5 linked regions of the Callithrix jacchus genome follow. The protein of the gene in region 4 purifies or fractionates together with the protein of the main gene of each other region. This does not show direct contact. Links are inferred from orthologs where the notes say so. Each region holds a gene or a part of one and is shown on either strand. Other genes may lie near its edges.

Region 1 (4,888 bases), on a different chromosome or scaffold from region 4:
ATGAATCTAATTCAGAGTAATTTGCTGGAAACAAATTTATACCTGTCATACCTGATTTCTACCAAACCAGATTTAGTTAGTTTTAATATCCCGTAATTATCAATACACATTACAAAAAGAAACACATGACTTTGTTTACACAATTAAAGCTACAGTGAAAAGAACCATATACATTAAATAATATTACTTTATTAAAAAATTTAACTCATAGCAATCTTCAACCTATTTTGCCTTCAAAAGATAGATTTTGGCTACTTTCTACAACACGATTCACACTTTACCCTATTAACACTTACAAACTTTTCAATCCCTGGACAAGATCTTTTTCAAGACTGACACATCTTTAGGAACCCAAAATACAATTAATGTACATAAGCACATAAGAAATTACTTACACCCTGCTGCCACTGGTTGTAGCCCTGAGATTGATTTTTGTAGCCACGATTGTTTCCTCGTCCTCTGAAGTTCTACAAAAAGGAAATATTTTTTAAGAGCTCTGAGCCCATCTGCTTGTTAGATTGATTTGTGTGGGTCAGAGAGGAGCAAAAATAGATTACTAGCCCCTAATCTCAGGGGGAATACACACATTGGGATACCCTCTACTGATTTCTTAATGTTTTTTATTCATTATGAGAAATGCATCTGACTTATTAATTAGCATACCTGAAAACACTCAAAATTGACTCATTTCACCTCTACTAGTTCAATTTTCCTTATGTCAATGCCTATCTTTCATGTTCCTTATGGATTCCTGTTACCCCAACATAAAGCTCACAACTTTCCAGGCTAAGCTATACAGATATCATGTTTCCAGGGATACTGCATTACCTGGTTGTAGTTCCCTCTGTTGGGCATTCCACCTCTGTTGTAGTTCCCTCTGTTTGAATAACTACCACGGCCAGGAAACACAGGAGCACGAGGGTATGGATAGCCGATTCCACCGCTTCCACCGCCACCACCACCTCTCTGTGGCATGTTGCCCCTCCTATTATATCCACCACGATTCCCAGGGGCTAAAAAACGAGAGATGTTTTGATTTAATTGCATTGTATACTACCTACTTATACAAGACTTGGGATTCCTCTAGACTGTTACTTTTTCTCAAAAAATAATCATCAAATCACATCGATACCTTAAACTAGTTCCTGTGACAGCACAGCATTAATGAGGAAGAAACTACAGCTACATCCAAACTACATCCGAATTTTTTTTTTCAATTTTTCTTTAGAGGCTACTTCAAATCAACCGAACTATAAAAGTATCACTTGTTTCGATCCTGGATGGAATATAGAACACTAGAAATTAACTCGCCTCCTCCTCTGAAATTTCCGCCACGCATATTGAATCCTCCACGTCCTCTATGGCCACCACCCCTGTTAAACTGGTTCTTGCCACTCTTATTTTTATTGCTCTTCTTTGAGCCAGTGTTCTGTTTCTTTTCTGGTGGAAGAGCCTTTTTGCTTTCTTCCTTATATTGCTCCAAAAGCTTTTGGGCTTCTTCTTTCTGAAGTTCAACATAGGTTATTTCATCAAAGCATTCGGCTACCTCTGGGAGGGTAAAGTTTCCTGCAGTAAACAAAGTCGTATTATTAACTTAGAGACCCACCACAAATCCCGCAACCCTAAAGCTAACGATTCTTGAGGCTTAGTAACTTTATTTTCCTCAACAGAAATAGACCAAACATACAGGCATATTTAACGAGTGCAATTGTAACTCTTGAAACAGTATTGCTGGCAAAAACGTTAATTTTTCAGATACGTAAACCATAGAGATTTAATAGTTACATAAGCAGAATAAGCATGGGGAAAAAGTTTTAAAAAAGATTTAACACAGTCACAGAATTCAATTTCATGCCTTTCATTTTGAGGACTGCATGTTCTGGTAGGTCTTTCCCCTCTACTTCTGCTTTCTTCTGTGTTCTCTGCTTATAGTCTTCATCTTTTGGGCAAACTACAACAGCTTTTCGCTGGAAGCCTGCAAACAGGCACATTTTTCTCCTCTGGGCAGCAGCAGACACATTTGTCTTTAAAAAAAAAAAAAAAAAAAAAAAAAAGAAATTGTGTTTATAACTATAAACGCTATTAATTCTACACCAATCTATCTCAGTTACCAGTTAATATTTTTCCATTTCAAAGCTACAGCATACCTGATCCAGAATAAAATTTCGCTTCTTACGGGCAGCAATCTCAATAAATTTCCCAAGACACTGTGGGGCTCTCTGCAACAGTGTGTTCAGTTTTCCAGTATCTGCCATTTGCTTCTTAAAACCTGCCACCTATATATATTCAAAAGTTAAAAATTTTAAAATTCAACTCTTATCTATATGGAAAGTAGGCAACATTTTATAATTTTAAGTATACCTTTGTCCATTACTAATACAAAAACAAGGTCATTTAACTATGTAACAAGACCCTACTCAATTATTTTTAGCTGCTAGATGTTAAGAGCTCAAAAAAACTATGGAAAAAATAAAAGACAAGACAAGCCTAGCCAAGGAACCAACTTAATTTTGCCTTACCTCCTATTTCTAATATAACAAAATGGATAAAGACAACAGGCAAAAGGTTTACCTAGAATACCTCCTGGTTTTTTTTTTTCCTGAGACGCACTCTCGCCTCACTGCAACCTCCACCTCCCTGGTTCAAGTGGTTCTCCCTGCCCCTGCCTCCCTCAGCTGGGATTACAGGTGCCCACCACTATGCCCAGCTAATGTGTATATTTCTAGTAGAGACGGGGTTTCACCATGTTGGCCAGGTAGGTCCCTAACACTTGGCCTCAAGTGATCGATCCACCCACCTTGACTTCCCAAGTGCTGGCATTACAGGTGTTTGAGCCTGCACAATCCAGCCTTTCCTGGTCTATTTTATAAACACTTGAGATAAAGCCCTCAACATTTTACTTACCATCATTTTATCCATAATAGTATTTGTTCCAAGAATGTTGTATTTCCCTGGATTTTCTGCTGCATGCTTGGTAACCCAGGTAGTTTTTCCAGCTCCTGGCAAGCCAATCATCATCACAACCTAGTGAGAAGAAAGAAGTATCATTTCACTGTCTAGTCATTCGACATCACCTAATAATCTTTAAAATACTGTCTTTTAAAGCCAATTTAAGTATTTAGGTTTTCATAGTCCTTACAATAAAGGACAAAAAAATGTGTGTTTATAAAAAGATTAACAGTTAACACAATGGGGAAACACAGCTAACTTAAGAGAAAAATCCAATTGAAAGCAGTATGTATAGCAAAAAGTAAACGAAACAAATCATCTAGCTCTTCTCAATGTCATTTGCGCCAAGCAAGCAATATTCAAATGCCACCGTTAAAAAAAATCACTTACTTCACAATCTTTCTTCTCTTCAGGCCCCTTTGGTCCTCTAACTCGATCCTCTAAGGGGACATTCTGGATAAAAGTATACTCTTCCGGTATTGGAAAATATGGCTTTTCCTTCTGACCAAAATTAAATTCAACTGCACAGTTGTGGCAAAGAACATGCGGAAAGAGTGGCCGTCCAGCAAGAACTTCCTTACTGATTTTGAAGGCAATGCCAAGATCCTGTCCATTCTTAGCATAGGAGAGTTCTACATCGTCACTTTCAAAGTTCTGTTAAACAGAAAAAATTTCAACAACTAAAATCTGCTTCCTATAAACTTTCAAAGAACTCCAGAATTAAATGAGCAGCAGGCCGGGCGCAGTGGCTCACACCTGTAATCCCAGCACTTTGGGAGGCCGAGGTGGGTGGATCACGAGATTGAGACCATCCTGATCAACATGCTGAAACCCTGTCTCTACTAAAAATACAAAAAATTAGCTGGGTGTGGGGGCGCGTGCCTGTAATCCCAGCTACTCAGGAGGCTGAGGCAGGAGAATTGCCTGAACCCAGGAGGCGGAGGTTGCGGTGAGCCGAGATCGCACCATTGCACTCCAGCCTGGGTAACGAGCGAAACTCCGCCGGGAACGGTGGCCCAAGCCTGTAATCCCAGCACTTTGGGAGGCCGAGGCGGGTGGATCACGAGGTCAAGAGATAGAGACCATCCTGGTCAACATGGTGAAACCCCGTCTCTACTAAAAATACAAAAAATTAGCTGGGCGTTGTGGCACGCGCCTGTAATCCCAGCTACTTGGGAGGCTGAGGCAGGAGAATTGCCTGACCCCAGGAGGTGGAGGTTGCGGTGAGCCGAGATTGCGCCATTGCACTCCAGCCTGGGTAACAAGAGCGAAACTCCGTCTCAAAAAAAAAAAAAAAAAAAAAACTAAATGAGGAGAAAAGTTTATCCTGTGGAAGTTACAGGTTAAAGAACTATTAGTTAATTCAAGGACAGGCAAACAGGAAAGAAAAAAAAAAAAAAAAAGACCTATTAGGAGGCCTCTAAGGGCTAAACAGTTAAGAAATCTGACAGTTGGCCAGGCATGGTGGCTCACACCTATAGTCCAGGTACTTTGGAGGCCAAGGCAGGCAGATCACCTGAGAGGTTGGGAGTTCAAGACCAGCCTGACCAACATGGTGAAACCCCGTTTTTTTTTTTTTGTTTTTTTTTTTTTTTAAAAAAGGGAAAAAAGAAATCTAACAGTTAAGGCCTGGTGTGGTGGCTCATCCCAGCACTTCGGGGAGGCCTGGCCAACATGATGAAACCCCATCTCACCATGGGTGGTGGCTCACGCCTGTAATCCCAACACTTTGGGAGGCCAAGGCAGGTGAGTCATTAAGTCAAGAGTTTGAGATCAGTCTGACCAACATAGTGAAATCCCCATCTGTACTAAAAATACAAAAATTAGCTGACCCTGGTGACATATGCCTGCTATTCAGGAAGCAGAGGAAGGAGAATCACTAGAACCTGAGAGGAGGAGGTTCCAGTGAGCTGAGATCACCCTACTGCATTCAAGCCTG
Region 2 (4,307 bases), on a different chromosome or scaffold from region 4:
GAAGCAACAATTCATGTCCCCTGGTTTATTTGTAAAAATAAGCCAAGACAGTTTTAATATAACCAGAAGTTAAAAAGTGAAAAAGAAGGATGAGATAATCCTTGCCTCCTTAATTCTGGCTATTAAGTAAAAACTGCTTCAACAAACGACCTTGTTCAGTTTTGGCAAAGATTAACCCTGAGCACCAGTCACACTCAAAGGGAATCAGAGTGACTATCGCCTCTCAGACCTCACCAGTCACCCAGCAATTCCGCTATCTCCTCCTCATCCCTATCGGGGGGAAAAGCACAGCTTATATGGATCATAGCTAGGGCTGTAGACTGGCACACACATGGGTATGAGATTTTGTTTTAAACACACAGATCCAACTGGCAAAGGGGACTTTAAAATAGTCACTGCCTTTAGTTCTGTAATAAATGACGAAGTGTAAATTGGCCAATACCAGGCAGGGGTCACTGCCTAGGCTTGCACCCTCCCTGGACCTGCTCTGGACACCTTGCTCCAGTGGAACCACAGTGATTACCACAAGAACAGCAGACCTTGGCTTTTCTGTCCTAACAGGAAGCTAATTCGTCCTGGTTAATCCCACCATGGTCCATGAACTGGTGTCAGCCACAGTGAAGTCTGCACTAATCTACTGTGCAAGCACTTACGCTCCGTATGTCTGCGGTGAAGGCATGGGGCCACCTGATGCCTTCCTGGCCTCTGGCTTCTCTGGAACCTTCCTCTGAGGAGGGTTGCTGATTGCCACTTTGATGACATTCTCTTTGATAGTCATGCCGTCCATCTTCATCACAGCCTGCGACGCCTGGGATTCATTTTCATACTCTACATAGGCCAGGCCCTGGAAGAGGCAAGATCCAGAACCAAGTCAGATCCTGCAGACCCAGGATACAACCTCCTCCCACAGGGCAGGCACTGGGCCTCCTCCTGGAGACCAGCAGACCAGGACACAGCAGACGCCCCACCAACAGATTATCTTCCCCACCACCACATCCTCTGTCTACAGGCTTGTTTCCCCACCCTCCTCTCCTTCCCTATTGCTGTTACGCACTGTAACTTCAGATAACCCTTCCAAGTTCAGGACACGTGGTATGTGCTGCGGAAGTAGAAAGAAAGAAGGAAACAGACAGATGGACCAGTATAAATCCAGCAAATAAACCAAGAGGTGGACGGAACACAGGGTGAGCAGTCCAGGTGCCCAGGTGAGCCCTCGTGTTTCTGTGCCCTTACACCGCACCCCGCCCCCCCGTTTCATCTTCTTTTTCTCTCCATTAACCTGGATAAAGGGGAGGAGGTAAAGTGGGCAGTGGGTAGACAGTAACACAAAACCACTTACTACTCAAAATGGGGCACAAAAGGACTTAGCAGGAGACTGCGGGGCAAGAAGGAAGGACATGAGAAGACGTACTGCAATGGAGGGACTCAAGGGGCCTGGCTGGAGGCCCCAGGGAAAGAGAGGCCTGGGAAAGAGGGAGGAGGCTACACAAGGTGCCCACCCCAAAGCCTGTGTGCTGCTGGTCACAGGGCTTCCCTCAAGCCCCACAGCAAGGGGCCAGAGTATGGTGAATTCATGATCATCTATTTCCAAGTGCCTTATTCTTTTTAGTACAATTAACTACAAACAGGTTAATCTGACTCCAAATATAAGTAGAGCTAAGTGTGCAGATCTTTGTTAAAATAACTTTTCTCAGCAGATGAACTAGGAACCCACCCTAAAGGTAAATAATCTTTGAACAGATACAAAAACGAAGTTTGCATGAGTCTTGAAGAGGCACAGTCTGCTCTAACGCTGACCTTTGGTTTGCCAGCCCTATTGGTGACCAGCCTGAGGTCCTTCACGGTGCCATGAACCTTACAGATTTCCTCTAGTTCCTCTTTAGTGCAGGAGAAAGGCAGGCCCGAGATGAACAGCTTGTGTTTCTCCAGGGAAGTGCTGTACCTGAACACCTGTAGGAAGGAAGGGAGAAAAAAAACCATGATTCAAGGCCTGACCCTGCTCACCTGACTCCTCTGACACCAGCCTTGTCCCCAGGAGCATGCCCAGCCAGGCAGACCAGAGCCAAGCCATGCTGAAGCTTGTTAACAGAGCCACCGGGCTGAGTCATTTAACCTCTCTAGCCTCCATGTCTTCCTCTGTAAAATGGCAAGAATAAAAGTGGCCAGTCACAGAGTCTGATAAGGGTTCAATGAGGTGACATACATACAACACATTTAGCACAGTCTCTTGTCACTACCAAGCACCCAGCAGCAAGTACCTATGCCATGAGTCAGACCTCAGTCAACCAGGTCAGCATGGACCTCGGCAGACAAGGAAGTTTAGATCCAAACAGCATAAAACTTCTGTTTATATCCTAAATATCACTGCTGCAGGAAGGAAGTCCCTACAGCAATCACAGATACAAGGCATTCTGTTTTTCCATAAACCTACCTTAAAATCGGGGTTTTTGCTCTTATCCACACAGGGGGAAACAAACATTGGCCTCCCCTCTACACTTTTACGGTCCATCTCCAGTGCCTGAAGGGCTGATTTCTCTTCTTTAAACTCCACATAGCAGTAGCCTCGGAAATCCCCACGGTTGCTGAAGATGGGTCGGATCTGGACCACCTCCCCACAGGCCTCGAAGAGCGGCTTGAGCTTCGCATCCGGCTCCTGCATGCTATAGGGCAGGTTGCTGACAAAGACGGTGATGCTGTCCTTGCTGCTATCGTGCAGCACCTTGGGCATGTCCCTCTTCAGGGAGGCTGCCTTCTCCTTCTGCTTCGAAGGGGGCTCCACATCTACAACAGCACATTTCCCAGCGGGCCCTGCTGCTGATTCCATGTTTTGTGTTTCTCCAGCTGCAGGGATGCTGTTCTCCACCCTTCTGCGTTTGGAAGGCTGCTCTACAGGTTTTCAAAAGAAAAAATAGCCTTGGTTAACCGTTACCTCTCTTTGGGGAGCTTGAACAGAGGTGTGATGTGAATGAGCTGTGACAGCTGCATGTGACACTCCCTCGCCAGACACAGAAGAGCAAGCATCACCCGGAGAAGTCTTTTGTGACCCGCCTGACCTGTCCCACGACTTTCTGTGTGCCCCAGTTATACTCGGGTAAGTGGGCTCAGTCAAGTGGAAGTAATAATATAAATCCCCATTGTCCACTCTTAATTATACAAAAGGCCAGAGGGTCTCAAAGTTCAGAAAGCAAATCCCAGGGCCCCTCTCCTACAAAAGCCCAGGTCAACAGGGGTGGGACAGGACATGAGAATCTGCACTGGAAAAGCACCCTAGTAACTGATGCCCATGCCCCACAGAGCACATTTTGGAAAGCACTACAAAGGGTCTGTGATTTCTAAAACACTTTCAATATTACCTTGTGTCCTTAAGAGAGCTTAACCACAATCTTTTACTCCAGTCTGTCCTCACCACTGCCTCCAGAGGGCCAGGACTAAAGTTCAACAGATGTCTGCCTCCAGCAAACAGACCTCCCCATCAGTTCACCCAACACTTTTGCAGTGAGTGGAAAGCCCTGCACGCTGCTACTGTATTCAAGAGCGCACCTGGGCTGGGTCCAGCTGACTGGCCCGCCTACCACTCCAGCCTCCTCAAACACTGCCCCATCTCTTCTCCATGTATCCAAGTTCAAACCCAATTATTTGCTCTTACAGAAATTGCCAGGCTGTGATAGGCCTTCAGGCTGTGCTAACACTGGCTCCCTGTCTAGCTCGGCCCTTCCCTTCTTGATGCCAGACAGTCACTCAGTCTCCCCGCTGGATTTCAAACCTCTTCCCCTTCAGTCTTCCTGGTACAGAGCTAGCCTTCTTTGGCCTCCACCACTACTAACAATTCCATTTCCCACAGTCCTGATGACATGCCACCGTGGTCACATATCACATTTGCCTTACTCTACTAAACTGGGAGGCCTGAGGGGCAATGAGCCCCCCTTAGTTATTAAGGAAAGCCCAAACAAGGTGTGCAAGCAAGGTCAACTCAAAGATGGATGACTCCATTCCCAGTTCTTTCTGGCTCATACATCTGTACCAAGAAAGTGTACAGAGTCCCTTACACATCCAGAGACAATTCTTTTTTTTTCTTTTTATGAGATGGAGTCTTGCTCTGTCTCCCAGGCTGGAGTTCAGTGGTGCGATCTCAGCTCATTGCAAACTCCACCTCCTATGCTCAAGTGATTCTCTTGTTTCAGCCTCCCAAGTAGCTGGGAAAACAGGCACCTGCCATCATGCCTGGCTAATTTTTGTATTTTTAGTAGAGACAGGTTTTCACCATGTTGGCCAGGTTGGTCTTAGATCCCTGACCTCAGGTGATCCAC
Region 3 (4,888 bases), on a different chromosome or scaffold from region 4:
ATGGGGCCCTTGTGGCTTCTGTAGGTCTGAAATGGTAGTTGGGCCTGCCATACCCTGTCAGCTGGAAGTCAGCCTGACCTCCTCCCCTCAGCAGCCTGGATTATCATCTCTCAGCCACTCTGGTAAAGGCTACTGTGCCTTAGAGAAATAGGTTCAGAGAGGGGCATGCTTGAAGTTACCAGGTCACCACCCATGTTCCTCCAGTTAGGGGCTCTCCCAGTGCCCTCTCTTTTTTCTCGGCCTCTGCCCATCTGTATTTGTTTTGCTCCCTGAGACTGTGGACACCTTCAGCTTACAAAATTCCTTTCTTCCTACACAGGGGACCCCCACAATGATCCCAATGCTCAGGGGGATGCCTTCAAGACACTCTTCGTGGCAAGAGTGGTAAGTCCCCAGCTGCCGAGAGCCTGGGCCTGGGACAAAGGGCAGATAGGCTAGGACCCAGGGGACGTTCCGGGGACCTCCCGTTTCCCGTTTAACGTCGTCTCCATCTCCTTGTAGAACTATGACACCACAGAGTCCAAGCTCCGGAGAGAGTTTGAGGTGTATGGACCCATCAAAAGAGTAAGTGGAGTGGGTCAGGGTGTTTGAATGGGGCGTGCGTGGAGGAGGGCTGTAGCCTGAAAGGGAGGCGAGCTCCCAGCCCTGGGCCTGGCTCGCAGCATTTCAGGGCCCGGGCTGATGTACCCTGAGTGAATCTGCATGCAGCAGGCCTTGGGGAGCAGGAGTCAGATGAGAGGTAGTGACTGTAGTGACTGACTGCTGGGGGCTGGTTCAGAGCAGGGGGCTGGCAAACTGCAGACTTACTGCTTGTAAATACAGTCTTACTGGCTCATCTGGGCAGCTGTTTGTTTATACATTGTCTTTGGCTGCCTTTTTTTTTTTTTTTTTTTTTGAGACAGAGTTCAGCTCTGTTGCCCAGGCTGGGGTGCAGTGGTGCAATCTCGGCTCACTGCAACCTCCACCTCTTGAGTTCAAGTGATTCTCCTGCCTTAGTCTCCTGAGTAGCTGGGATTACAGGTGCCCGCCACGACGTCCAGCTAATTTTTGTATTTTTAGTAGAGACGGGGTTTCACTGTGTTGGCCAGGCTGGTGTTGAACTCCTGACCTTGTGATCTACCAGCCTCCCAAAGTGCTGGTATTACAAGCATCAGCCACCACGCCCGGCCTGGCTGCTACTGTCGTAAGGCAGGTTTGGGTTGTTACAGCAGAATAGAAGGCTGTCACAGCTGGAAGTAAGCTACTCTCTTGGTCTTTGCAGAATGTGTATGCGGACTCTTGTTTTAGAGGAAGACTTTGTTTTACTGATCTTCTTTTGAGTTACTTAAGTGCTCTGTGCCTGATTTTCTTTACCTAAAGTGGGAGACAAATGTCTTCACTGAGCAGTAGTAAGAGTCTGAGACCGTCCCACACGAAAACTGACATTAGACAAAAACTGACATTAGCTGTGTCTGTTCTCCTCTATTTCTGATACATTTTTAAACAATATTTGTGGCGGGGTGTGGCTGGGATTACTCATGCCTGTAATCCCAGCACTTTGGGAGGCCGAGGTGGGTGGATCACGAGGTCAAGAGGTCCAGGCCATCCTGGCTAACATGGCAAAACCCTGTCTCTACTAAATATAAAAAAATTAGCCAGGCTTGGTGGCGTGCGCCTATAGTCCTAGCTAGTCAGGAAGCTGAGGCAGGAGAATCACTTGAACCCAGGCAGCAGAGGTTGCAGTGAACCTAGATTACAACACTGTATTCCAGCCTAGGTGACAGAGTGAGACTCCCTCTCAGAAAAAAAAAAAAAAAAAAAAATATATATATATATATATATATATATATATGTTTATACACGTCAGGCCGGGCACAGTGACTCACTCCTGTAATCCCAGCTCTTAGGGAAGCAAAGGCAGGAGGCCAGCTTAAGCCCTGGAATTGAAGACATGCCTGGGCAATATAGTGAGACCCTGTCCTCCACAAAAAAGAGGAAAGAAAAAAAGTATTATAGGCTGGGTGTGGTGGTTCATGCCTGTAATCCCAGCACTTTGGGAGGCTGAGACAGGCAGATCACCAGAGATCAGGAGTTCAAGACCAGCCTGGCCAACATGGCGAAACCGTGTCTCTACTAAAAATACAAAATGTTAGCCAAGCGTGGTGGCTCGTGCCTGTGTATATACACGAATATAAAGACGGCACACGTGTTATGCCCTGCACAGCCCAGTAACAACGTTGGCCCTGCCCTCATCCCTTTGATCCCATTCGAGTCAGGAATCTCAGTTGGGTTTTGGAGGCTACGGGGTCCCAGGTTCAAGTCCTAGGACCAGGTGAGCTCATCCACGACGCAACTTGGATTGGTCGACAACTGGTAGTGACATGAATGGAGAACTAGCCATCCTTTAGGGACCAGCCCAAATGCTCTCACCTCCCAGAAACCTTCCCTACTTCATCCCGGCCTCCTCTGTCTCAACAGCCCTGCCCTGCCCATTGTTCTCCTTGACGTGGTCCCAGGGGGGTCTTTTTGCCATCCAGAGCTGACCCTGTCTCCTCTGCACACAACCTCCCATGGGTCCCTAGCATGTTAGGACAGGTCCAGGTGCAACTGCCTGGCCTTCCAGGGCCCTTCCTCAAGCTATGTGGCCTCGTGGACCTCCATCTCACGTCTCCCCTTTCCTCCCTTGCTGCCATCCTCAGATGGGACCCATCCTTAGTGCGCCACATTCTCTCAGGCCTCCCTGGCTGTGCACACGTCCTTTCTTTTTCTCTTAGAACTCCCCTGTCCCTGGCCGGGCGCAGTGGCTCACACCTGTAATCCCAGCACTTTGGGAGGCCGAGGCGGGCAGATCACGAGGTCAGGAGTTTGAGACCAGCTTGGCCAACGTGGTGAAACCTCATCTCTACTAACAATACAAAACATTAGCCAGGTGTGGTGGTGCACGCCTGTAATCCCAGCTACCTGGGAGGCTGAGGCAGACACCTTCATCACTGTCCCTTCATCCCTGTTCGGTCTTTAGGTCTTAGCTTACATGTCATTTTCTCCAGGAAGTCACCTCTGTGCCCTCTGCTCCTGCTATTAGATCATAAGTCACTTGGGGCTCTTGAAGGACAGAGAGGGTCTGGCCCCGGGCCTCTCGTGCAGGCTGATGTGGGGTGGGTGGGGCGGAGCTGCCCTGTGTCGGGACTCAGCCCTGTCCCCACGCCTGCAGATCCACATGGTCTACAGTAAGCGGTCGGGAAAGCCCCGCGGCTATGCCTTCATCGAGTATGAACACGAGCGGGACATGCACTGTGAGTACCACCCGCCGCAGCGCTGCCCTCTGACCCTCTCACTTCTCTGCTGCCCCAGCCCTTCCCAGTCTGTCCCCTCCCCACCCTGCCACACCTGACATTAGCGATGTCTCTTCTCCTCCTCCCTCTGTTTCTGATATATCTTTTTTTTTTTTATATACGTGTTTTTTAAAAAACAAAAACCAAATCCCCCACAACGTGTGTGTGTGTGAACCTGGGGAGGTAAGTGTCACACGTTGAACCTCAGGGGCAAAGAGGGAACTGGGTGGGGGGCTGGGGCCAGCCGGAGGTGGGGGGAGGGGTCGGATTTTGGGGGAACCTCTCCCCATTATTCCCCCCACTGGAGTTGGGGGTGGCCAGGTTGCCAGTGACGACTGGCCTTTGAACTTGCCCTCTCTTCCCCCCCAGTACAACTGGGGCTGGGCCACCCAACCCTCCGCCTCCCCAGCTCTGGCCCCCCACCCTGTTCCTCAGCGGGCAGTGGGGTGATAGGCATGTTGAGCGCCCGCCCCTACAGTTCCAAAGCCCCCTTTGAGGCTGCCGCGGCGTCCACATGGGCAGGGATGGGTGGGGGAGGGCGGGCAGGGCTGCGGCGTGTCCAGGGGCCGCCGTATTAATTGACTGTTCTTATTGTCACTGCAGCCACCACGCAGCTGGCTTGCAGCTGATGCTTACGCTCCCCTTACAACACCTCAGTGTATGGTTGGTATAAGGGTTTGTATCATGGGTAAGATCACTCAGCACCGCACACCAGCCCAGCTTAGCCAGGCAGCTCAGGAGCAGCGAGGCACCCCTTCTCCCGCCCCAGTCGCCCCCGCAGCCTCCCCGCACCCACAGCCCTTTCCTTGTTTGGGTGCCCTTTGTCCCTCCTGCCCCGATCCGTATGCTTTCTGAGAATCTTGCTGATCGCAGGAGGGGAAGGATGAACCCGGTGGGAAAGGCAGCAGCCTCTCCGCTTGGGCTCCACCGGCCTCTAATGACCCGGCTTCGCGATGTCAGCGGTGAGGTGGTGGGAAAACCGAGGGCAGGGCACCAGGCCAGGGCTCCACTGGAACCCTTCCGCCTTCCCTCCCTGCCCCCGTGCTTTCTGTGGGGCTGCCACTGTGCTGGCCCTGGAGAATCTTTTTGGCTGCTAGTTTTGGGGCACTCTGCCCCCTTCCTGTCTTCCTTACTGTGGTCGAAGCCTCCCGAGGGGCTGGCTGTGGTGTCCAGCCACTCCAGAGGTGGTCACGAGCTCCCCAAAGTGCATGGAATTGGGGCTTGGGGTGTGGGAGGGACCAAGGGGTAAGTTGCCAGCAGCTGAAGGTGTCGTAGGTTTTAACTAAAGAACCGTCCACTGTCTAGAGACTTCAGAGAGAGGGAAAGAGAGAGAGAGGCCTAGATGAACACAATCACATGTTTTCTTTGCTGTTCTTCCCGGGTTGGGCCTCTTGGGGTTTGGGACTCTGAACCCAAGCGGGGTTTCTTCGCTTGACTTTGATCCTGGTCCTTAAATGCCTTTCCCCACTCCCCTCCTGTGGGTTCAGGGGCCAAGCGGCCCCTCCTCAGAGCACTGGCAACACCATCTCCTGGACCCCTGCGTGCCAGCCTCTGCAGAGGCAGCTGGTGGGAGGGAG
Region 4 (4,888 bases):
TATCGTCTGAAGTCTTCGTCTTATATCAGTAGTGCCACACCAGCTTTGTTTTGTGTTTGCGTGGGTGTATTTTTCCATCTTTTTATTGTTAATCTGTCTTTGTAATTAAAGTTTATTTCTTATAGACAGCATATAGTTGGATCTTGGTGTGTGGGTTTTTTTTTTTTTTGAGACAGAGTCTCCCTCTTTTGCCAGGCTGGAGTAGTGCAGTGGCACGATCCTGGCTCACTGCAACTTCCATTTTCTGGTTTCAAGCAATTCTCCTGCCTCAGCCTTCCAAGTAGCTGGGACAACAGGCACGCACTACCACACCAGGCTAATTTTTTGTACTTTTAGTAGAGACTAGAGACGGGGTTTCACCATGTTGGCCAGGATGTTCTTGATCTCTTGACCTCATGATCCACCTGCCTTGGCCTCCCAAAGTGATGGGATTACAGGCGTGAGCCACCATGCCCGGCCTGTTTTTTTTTTTGAGTTGGAGTCTGTCACTCTGTCACCCAGGCAGGCTGGAGTGCAGTGGTGCGATACTGGCTTACTGCAACCTCCGCCTGCCAGATTCAAGTGATTCTCCTGCCTCAGTCTCCCAAATAGCTAAGACTACAGGTATGTGCCACCACGCCCAGCTAATTTTTGTATTTTTAGTAGAAACAATTTCACCATGCTGGCCAGGCTGGTCTCGAACTCCTGACCCCAAGACCCTCCTCAGCCACCTAAAGTGCTGGATTACAGCTGTGAGCCAGCGTGCCTGATTTTTATTTAATCTAATTTGATAGTGTTTACTGCACAAATATGGTATAAATATCTCAATTAAGGTTAAGTTACAATGCTCTCAGTGTAGCATTGTAGTTCAGTTTATATCTACCATCTTATCCATCTTTTTTTTGTTTCATTCTTTCTGTTTTCCCTTTTCTTGCCTTCTGAATTCAGTTGTTTTGTGATTCTAATTTATCTCCACTTTTCATTTATTTGGCTACATGGTTTTTCCTTACTGTTTGCTCTGAGGTTTATAGTATACATCCCTCATTTACGGTGATCTGTGACCATTAATCTACTGCCAATCACTTTACATATAATACAAGAGCCTTACAAGGTACACTTTAACTTCCACTCCCACTCTTAGTAGTATTTTTGTCATAATGTTTTAATTGTACATGAATTATAAGTGCTACAATATTTTTACTCTTTTTGCTTTAAACAGCCTTTATCTTTTATAGAAATTGCAAAATGAGAAAAAATATCTTTTACATTTTAACCACGTAATTACTATTTCTGGTGTTCTTCACTACTTTGTATAGCTCCATCTGGTGTCCTTTTTCTTTTGGTTTTCTTTTTTTTTTTTTTTTTTGGGAGACAGTGTCTCACTCTGTCGCTCAGGCTGGGGTGCAATGGTACAATCTTGGCTCACTGCAACCTCTGCCTCCTGGGTTCAAGCAGTTCTCCCTGCCTCAGCCTCCCGAGTAGCTGGGACTACAGGTGCCTGCCACCATACCCGGCTAATTTTTGTATTTACTTCTAGTAGAGAAGGGGTTTTGCCATGTTGGCCAGGCTGGTCTCAAAACTGCTGACCACAGGTTATCCACCCACCTTGGCCTCCCAAAGTGCTGGTATTATTATTAAAGACATGAGTCACTGCACCTGGCCCAAAAGGCTTTGCTTTTTGTTTGCCTAAAAAAAAAAGTATTTTGCTTTCTCTTTTCTCTCTTTTCTTTTGAGACAGTCATGTGTCTCCTAGGCTGGAGTGCAGTGGTATGATCATGGCTCATGCAGCCTGTAACTCCTGGCCTGAAGCGATCCTAGCATCTCAGCCTACTGAATAGGGTCTTCCTATGTCGCCCAGGCTGGTCTCCAACTCCCGGGCTCAAGCAGTTCTCTCACCTTGGCCTCCCAAAGTGCTGGGATTATAGGCATGAGCCGCTGCACCCAGCCTCATTGTGGTTTTGCTTTCTATTTCCCTAGTGACTAATGATGTTGAACTCAAATCTTTCTTGAGTAGTAGGGATAAAACTAACTGGGTCAGGTTGTCTCCACCCTCCCCGCCCCTGGCCCATCTGTCATTTGCTTTTTTTCCTACTGTCTTTAGATTGTGAATAAGTGGAATACAGCTCTCATTGGCCTCATGACATACTTTCGGGAGGCTGTGGTGAACACCCAAGAGCTCTTGGACTTGCTGGTGAAGTGTGAGAACAAGATCCAGACACGTATCAAGATTGGACTCAACTCCAAGATGCCAAGTCGGTTCCCCCCAGTTGTGTTCTACACCCCTAAGGAGCTGGGTGGACTCGGCATGCTCTCCATGGGTCACGTGCTCATCCCCCAGTCCGACCTCAGGTACAGCCTGGTTACACCTGTTTCTAAGTCCTGTTGCTCAGGCCCTAAGGGAATTGGGTATTTCTTTAGTCTTAGGCTTTATTTTTTCTCTCATCTTGGTTGTATCCCCAAACAGGTGGTCCAAGCAGACAGATGTAGGTATCACACACTTCCGTTCAGGAATGAGCCATGAGGAAGACCAACTGATTCCCAACTTGTACCGCTACATACAGCCATGGGAAAGTGAGTTCATTGATTCCCAGCGGGTTTGGGCTGAGTATGCACTCAAGAGGCAGGAGGCCATCGCTCAGAACAGGTGGGCACCTAGAGGGCATGCCAACCATGGGGCAGGGGCAGGAGGTGGCCTTTGAACCTTGTGTGGAGTTCAGGCCTAAAGCATGCCATGTTTTTATGGGGGTGAGAGGCTGGTTCTACTCCTGACCCTGATTATTTTTGGCTAGGAAGGAGTGTTGAGCTCTTGATATGAGAAAGTGTTTTGACTTTAATCTTTCTTTCTTGGAAGACGGCTGACTTTAGAAGACCTAGAAGATTCATGGGATCGTGGCATTCCTCGAATCAATACCCTCTTCCAGAAGGATCGGCACACACTGGCTTATGATAAGGGCTGGCGTGTCAGAACTGACTTTAAGCAGTATCAGGTATGTGGCGGGAGTAGATTTTCCCTGAATCAGGAAAATCCATGGCTGTCCCGGAAACTTGGGGCAGTGGGCACCCAGAAACTTGACCGTGCCTGCCTTGCCTTTTAGGTTTTGAAGCAGAATCCGTTCTGGTGGACACACCAGCGGCATGATGGGAAGCTCTGGAACCTGAACAACTACCGTACAGACATGATCCAGGCCCTGGGCGGTGTGGAAGGCATTCTAGAACACACGCTCTTCAAGGGCACTTACTTCCCTACCTGGGAGGGGCTTTTCTGGTGAGGATTCTCCTCTCAGAGAGACCTGTCACAGCCCTTTGAGCTCGTCTCTTGTGTGCCTCCGTGGTCTTCTGTGGTGTTTCCCAGACAGCCACCTCCAGGAGGTCAGCTGTGTGCTGGGAGCTGGAAGGATATCACCTCACCTGGTTCTCTTGCTCCCCAGGGAGAAGGCCAGTGGCTTTGAGGAGTCTATGAAGTGGAAGAAGCTAACTAATGCTCAGCGATCAGGGTTGAACCAGATTCCCAATCGTAGATTCACCCTCTGGTGGTCCCCAACCATCAATCGAGCCAATGTGAGTGTGACTGGTAGACTGGAGATGGGAAGCTGAAAACAGTTGTTTCTCCTGGGTTATGTCACGAGCGCCCGAGTCTCAATCTCTGATGTCACACTGTCTTTCCTGCCAGGTGTATGTAGGCTTTCAGGTGCAGCTCGACCTGACGGGCATCTTCATGCATGGCAAGATCCCCACGCTGAAGATCTCACTCATCCAGATCTTCCGAGCTCACCTGTGGCAGAAGATCCATGAGAGCATCGTCATGGACTTATGTCAGGTTGGCTGGGATCAAGGGGTGCCATCAGAAGTCAGCCTGGCTTGCTCTCTTGATATGGGAAATTCATGCTGGAAGCTCTGAGGATGAGATTCCCATTGCCTCATCTGAAATCTGCACACTCTCGTTCTCATTGGGCTTTCCTGACAAGCCTTCATCTCTACATCTTTTGCTTCAGGTGTTTGACCAGGAACTTGATGCACTGGAAATTGAGACAGTACAAAAGGAAACAATACATCCCCGAAAGTCATATAAGATGAACTCGTCCTGTGCGGATATCCTGCTCTTTGCTTCCTATAAGTGGAATGTCTCCCGGCCCTCATTGCTGGCTGACTCCAAGTAAGGGCCTCAGGCCACAGCCCTAGGAATCTGGGAACTTTAGTTTGACTGTTCTTCCAGCACTGCTACTTGAGGAATTGGCCCTGTCTGCCTTTCTCAAACTGGGAGCCTGTCAATACCCTTAGTCAGATCTGCTGACCCTCTGGGGTCTTGCTGATCTGGAACAACTTGGTGGGGTGGGTGGGATGGTTTTGGGATATAAGTGATGAGGAAGTCTGTGGTTCTGGGGACATGGGTTATGAGCATGGTTTTCTAGAAGCTTGAGCCCTCTTCATCCTCAGGGATGTGATGGACAGCACCACCACCCAGAAATACTGGATTGACATCCAGTTGCGCTGGGGGGACTACGATTCCCATGACATTGAGCGCTACGCCCGGGCCAAGTTCTTGGACTACACCACAGACAACATGAGTATCTACCCTTCGCCCACAGGTGTGCTCATTGCCATTGACCTGGCCTATAACTTGCACAGGTGAGTTGAGACCCAGAACCGTGGCGCAGTAGCTCACATCTGTCATCCCAGCACTTCGGGAGCCTGAGGTGGGAGGATTGCCTGAGTTTGAGACCAGTCTGGGCAACATGGTGAAACCCCATCTCTACTAAAATACAAATAATTAGCCAGGCGTGGTGGTCTGCCCCTGTAGTCCCAGCTACTCAGGAGGCTGAGGTAGGAGAATTGCTTGAACTTGGGAGGCAGAGGTTGCAGTGAGCGAAGATCATGCCACTATACTCCAGCCTGGCCCACAGAGCGAGAC
Region 5 (4,888 bases), on a different chromosome or scaffold from region 4:
ATTTCCAGGAAGTATTTCTAAAGTCTGTTACTATAAAATTCTAATTAAGTAATTGGCATTTGAACCTGTGAATTATCATTACCACTTTTTAATGGATGTTTCTTTCCATGTTTATCTTCCAGTGGCCATAAAATGCAGTAAAAACAAATCCAGTCCCCAAGAAGCTGTTCAAATGCTTTCTTCAGTTCGACTCAATTTACGGGGCTTGTTATCTAAAGCAAAGGTGAGAATGACATGTGAATTAGTTGCCATGGTCAAATAGAAAAAGGTCATTAGTATCAACTTATTGCTAGTTATTAAATCCTTTACATCAGTGATAATTTTAGGCGCATGTTATATTTTATTTTGTAGCGCCCTTATGGTTGATTGTGTTAATAAGGATCCTGTTGGCTCAATGGCTAGACCACTCTAAATGTATGTGACTTAAGAATCTTCGAAATTGGCCGGGTGTGGTGGCTTATGCCTGTAATCCCAGCACTTTGGGAAGCTGAGGTGGGCGATCACTTGAGATCTGGAGTTTGAGATCAGCCTGGCTAACATGGTGAAACCCCATCTCTACGAAAAAATTCAAAAATTGGCTGGTCATGGTGGTTGGTGCCTGTAATCCCAGCTACTCAGGAGGCTGAGGCAGGAGAATCACTTGAACCTGGGAGGCAGAGATTGCAGTGAGCTGAAATTGTGCCATTGCACTTCAGGTGACAGAGTGAGACACTGTCTCCAAGAAAAAAAAATTCTTTGAAATTAATGTTTACCATTCAGCCCTTAATGCTTTCTTTAAATTATGTTAAAACAACGCTCTTGTATTTATTGTCATTTTCCCCAAAGTGTGGCATATATGCCACTGGTAAACTTTCGGTTTAAATATATATTTATTTCAGTACATATTAGAAAAACGTAGACTAGCACATCAAACCTATATTTTCATGAATATTATTGCTTATTTTGTATTTACAATAGTGATGTAATGTTTCCTTTTAAAAAGAGTCAAGTAAGTTAAAAAAATTGACTTAGATAAAAATTTTAAGTAGGAGGTATATGGATTTGACCAAAATTGTTAAGGTAGATGGTGATTCAGGTTTGACAACTGAAATATGCCTTTAGTTCACAAAGACTAACTTTTGGACCAGTGCGAGGCGGGAGATGCTTAAGAATCACTCAGGGAGCTTTATTGAAGATGGGATTCTGGGGCTCTATCTGTGACCAATGTAGATTCAGGAATGGGATGGAACCCAGGAAATCTGTTAAATTTCCTAGGTGATTTTACTGTGCAGCCAGGTTTGGAGTATACATCTGGAAGAAAATTTAGACAAATATAACTTCCAGCACAATTTAGTGCTTACTTTTCTAATCTTTACTTGCTTTCATTATGGGAATCTTGGGTTGCAAAGTAATTTTGACTGACTTCTGAGAGTGAGTCTGGCACACGGAGGCCACTTCTGAATACCTTCGTACTCTGAAACAGTCTTTCCAGAGTATGTTTTTTCTTACTAATGGTTTGATCTTTTCAGATCAAGGCATCATTTTTTCCTCTTTAGATAATTAACTTATTTTACTTTTCCTATTTATCTGCATGACCCAGGAGAACCGTATTTCCTCCTAGCTTGGCAGTACAACCCAGAATCGTGTCTCTCAATCATCTACAAGAGCTCCCTCAAAGTCAGAGCAGCAGGGTTTTTTCCTGTGACTTTCCTTCCCAAAGTTGGAACTTTGTTTCCTACTCTTGATTAGATCGCTAAGGCATCCACAACAGTTTACTTCTTCAGGATATACTGTGGCTTCCTTTTGTCTGTGTGAAGCTTTTTCTTATAAATTATTATTTTTATATAAATCTATACTTACATGACTGGAAAAGTGTTGTCTGTGCAGGTACTGTACGTCTTTCCATATTATGGTAGATTGCCAAATAATGAAAATGTGGCCTCAGAACATCATCTGTGTTTAGATTTTCGTTCTCATTAGATGCCATCTGGGTTATCCAAAAACGGGAAAAATTACCTCCCAGTGCCTCCTCTGAAGCATGTTTTACATATATGTGGGAGTCTCAGGTTTTGTAGATCATATGCCTTTTCTATTTAGTGAACTGGGTTTGTCAAACTGAATTGCATTCCAAAAAAGTCACTTTTTTAGAACACTTTAGAAAGTGGAAATGAACTAAGATTGAAAATAAATGAGGATAACTCTGTTAAATTGTTTACAGCCTATGTTAAATGGGCGTAATTGAATGAATGAATTTTCTTGCCAGGCCAGGGACTTCGTGGAAATAAGCTACTAGTACCTAGAGACTCACCTAACAAATCATCCAGTCCATGCTCCCCCAAGACACAGTGACTCCCCTGCCCACTTGCACCCTGTCCTTGTACAGGTTTGCTGCCAAGAGTGGCAGGAGGGGGGCTGTTCATGAGAGTGCTGGAGAGTCTGTCAGCAAATTATTCATTCTTTTCTAAGCTTCAGTTTCTCTGTGCTTCCTCTTTACCCCACAGGGAAGTGATGCAGATTGATTATGATTTGCAAGCACTGTCATTCTTAGTTTAAAAAAACACATACAAAAAAAAAAAAAACAACTATGTGAGGCTAGATTATTTTCCTAAGAGGTGTTTACAGATGACACTGGAGCAGTTCCTACTTCATTTTGTTATGAAATGCTATACAAATCATATAGTCAAATCCAATGAAACAGATATATGGCAAACTACGTAAATTATATTTCTGAATAAACATACACACAGTCACATGGGCACACACACACACATACAAAGGGGGGTCATAAAATCCTGAAGCTGATTTTCTTGGGTGTCTATGTTGGCTCAGGAGGCAGTTCCTGGAGAGGCATTTCACAATGTTTTCAGCCGTGGTAGCATTACTGGAACGTGCTGCAATAAACCTCCCAAGGCAATTCCTTCTTCAGGGAGAGGACACACTTATTTTTATTTTGCTGGACTTTTTTGCTAGGATAATCTTTGTGGTCTCTGAGGCCTAAGCCAAATTAATTTCCAAATAAGTAGCATAAAGGGTATGATTTATATGAATTTGAATATAGAATATGTTTGTTTTGCCTGTATACACAATAAATAAACTCGTTTTGTTTGGTTGAATTATGTCTATTCATCCAAAAACTATCCTATAACATTGAAATTAATAACCAGTATTTAGACAACTGCTTTGAAGAGCAGAGCTCATTTGAATTTATAAGTTGAGGCCTGTTGTTTTGATTCATTTAATTATTGTAGCTTGTACATTTCAGTGAACAGAAAAATACACTACCATTGCTATTACAATTGTATAGTATTATTATGCAAAAGGTTTTTAAACTATTTTACTTCAAAGAAATTTCATTGTTTTAATATTTCTGCTGTGTTTTTTATATTACAGCAACTTTTTACAGATGTAGCAACTGGAGAAATTTCCAGGGAATTAGCTGATGACATAACAGCTATGGACACCTTCGTGACAGAGCTCCAAGACCTAAGCAACCAGTTTAGAAATCAGTATTGACTCTGCTGGAAGCAGATTCTGGAAGAGGTGCTTTCACCTTCTGGTAAAAGATATATCTGTATATCTGAAATGCAAGCTATTGATTTTTAAAATAAATTTGTTTTATGACTTAACATTCTTGGTTTTGTGCTCTCAATTTTATATGCTTTCTGAAGTACATTAAATTTTTTAAACTCCCTATCTCTTTAGGTCTAATTACAGTTGAATTCAGTATTCTTACTATTCTTGAGGTATTTTGGCACAAAGGGCAGATAAATTCATTTTGTTTTTAATATAGGGTTTATTCTCCTTCAGCCTAACATTAATTGGATCATACTTTGGAAAATCTTAGTCTAAACAGGTGAAAAATCGCAAACTTATAGTATTGTGAAATCATTAGATTGACTGCTTTATTGTTCAAAAGTGATAAAAGAGTCGATTTGGAGGTAGAAACATTTATACTTCTCGAGATTTGTGCTTGTGTCAGAAAGATACAGACTTGGGTAAATTGGAAATGTGAGCATTGTTTAACTTCTAAATCAAGAAAATGCAAGAAAAAAATGGCATAACCTAAATTTTTACTTAGCTATTGGGAACTAGGCTGTTGCCCCTTCATTATGTATACTGCCAGCCCCAAAGATGGTTGTTTAATTAGGGTATTATGGGTAAAGACAGCTATTAATGGTGCCGTATTATAGAAATGCCAAAGTAAAATGCTTTCAATGTTGATGGAACCAAATATTGAAGGCAGCAGCTGAGCGTAACCATCTTAGTACAAAAGTCATAGCGAGGAGTTCTAAGTCCTGGCTTGGGTTGCTAAATTTTGGGTCCCATGTATAAATCATTTGGCCCTTTTGTCCCCATGTTCTTATATAGAAGATGTAAATAATTTCTACTACTAGCTTCTCTGTGAGTTTCAGCTACTTTTGGAAACTTAAAAATTCATAAAGTATTCTGAACATTAAAAAAACAGTCTTTAAAAAACTTTAATGAATTTTGGTTATGAATGCTTACCAGTACTAAATGCTCTCATTTCTTAACCACCTACTTCTCTTTTCTATTAGCGTATTATCCTTAAAAAGAAGTTGGTGTATGCCCCAGAGCAGTTTCTCTTATAGCAGAGACAATACCTGTGAGAAAGACCAATAAAACGAGTTAACATTAAGGGCCTACTTAAACCTTTTATGGAAGCCATTGAGGACTAGATGGGTGAATGGACGATGGATGATTGATGGGTGGATACTTGAATGGATGGGTGGGGCAAGGTTTTAAGATTAATTTTTATTAGTATCAATCTGTGCACTCTGATAGAAAATGGACAGAAAATACTGAAAAGGACAGTCATTTCAGCAATCAAGTAGAAGACTGAGGTAGAGCTTCAAAGTTGTAGAATTTTTCGGTCTTCCGTTTGCTTTCC

What was found. Proteins that work in one complex are often made in the same cells at the same time.
Region 1: the proteins of PRPF8 (region 4) and HNRNPU fractionate together in Homo sapiens (co-fractionation; 3 studies listed by BioGRID, with this or other methods). This does not show direct contact. The link is inferred for Callithrix jacchus from reciprocal best matches to the Homo sapiens genes PRPF8 and HNRNPU.
Region 2: the proteins of PRPF8 (region 4) and SART3 purify together in Homo sapiens (affinity purification with mass spectrometry; 4 studies listed by BioGRID, with this or other methods). This does not show direct contact. The link is inferred for Callithrix jacchus from reciprocal best matches to the Homo sapiens genes PRPF8 and SART3.
Region 3: the proteins of PRPF8 (region 4) and SNRNP70 fractionate together in Homo sapiens (co-fractionation; 3 studies listed by BioGRID, with this or other methods). This does not show direct contact. The link is inferred for Callithrix jacchus from reciprocal best matches to the Homo sapiens genes PRPF8 and SNRNP70.
Region 5: the proteins of PRPF8 (region 4) and TTC27 purify together in Homo sapiens (affinity purification with mass spectrometry; 3 studies listed by BioGRID and IntAct, with this or other methods). This does not show direct contact. The link is inferred for Callithrix jacchus from reciprocal best matches to the Homo sapiens genes PRPF8 and TTC27.

The regions. Positions count from the first base shown.
Region 1 is NC_133520.1:41,334,780-41,339,667, reverse strand, and holds part of HNRNPU (heterogeneous nuclear ribonucleoprotein U), read right to left. Parts: intron 3,604-4,888; coding exon 3,340-3,603; intron 3,025-3,339; coding exon 2,905-3,024; intron 2,277-2,904; coding exon 2,148-2,276; intron 2,025-2,147; coding exon 1,856-2,024; intron 1,567-1,855; coding exon 1,312-1,566; intron 1,014-1,311; coding exon 829-1,013; intron 468-828; coding exon 396-467; intron 1-395. UniProt on the Homo sapiens protein: DNA- and RNA-binding protein involved in several cellular processes such as nuclear chromatin organization, telomere-length regulation, transcription, mRNA alternative splicing and stability, Xist-mediated transcriptional silencing and mitotic cell progression.
Region 2 is NC_133510.1:111,408,979-111,413,285, forward strand, and holds part of SART3 (spliceosome associated factor 3, U4/U6 recycling protein), read right to left. Parts: intron 2,887-4,307; coding exon 2,432-2,886; intron 1,951-2,431; coding exon 1,798-1,950; intron 845-1,797; coding exon 654-844; intron 1-653. UniProt on the Homo sapiens protein: U6 snRNP-binding protein that functions as a recycling factor of the splicing machinery. Promotes the initial reassembly of U4 and U6 snRNPs following their ejection from the spliceosome during its maturation.
Region 3 is NC_133523.1:42,910,718-42,915,605, forward strand, and holds part of SNRNP70 (U1 small nuclear ribonucleoprotein 70 kDa), read left to right. Parts: intron 1-319; coding exon 320-384; intron 385-501; coding exon 502-564; intron 565-3,190; coding exon 3,191-3,272; intron 3,273-4,888. UniProt on the Homo sapiens protein: Component of the spliceosomal U1 snRNP, which is essential for recognition of the pre-mRNA 5' splice-site and the subsequent assembly of the spliceosome. SNRNP70 binds to the loop I region of U1-snRNA.
Region 4 is NC_133506.1:66,572,907-66,577,794, forward strand, and holds part of PRPF8 (pre-mRNA-processing-splicing factor 8), read left to right. Parts: intron 1-2,080; coding exon 2,081-2,328; intron 2,329-2,443; coding exon 2,444-2,623; intron 2,624-2,830; coding exon 2,831-2,966; intron 2,967-3,074; coding exon 3,075-3,244; intron 3,245-3,407; coding exon 3,408-3,537; intron 3,538-3,649; coding exon 3,650-3,796; intron 3,797-3,971; coding exon 3,972-4,132; intron 4,133-4,413; coding exon 4,414-4,605; intron 4,606-4,888. UniProt on the Homo sapiens protein: Plays a role in pre-mRNA splicing as core component of precatalytic, catalytic and postcatalytic spliceosomal complexes, both of the predominant U2-type spliceosome and the minor U12-type spliceosome.
Region 5 is NC_133515.1:82,201,056-82,205,943, reverse strand, and holds the end of TTC27 (tetratricopeptide repeat protein 27), read left to right. Parts: intron 1-122; coding exon 123-223; intron 224-3,369; coding exon 3,370-3,492; 3' UTR 3,493-3,605; downstream 3,606-4,888.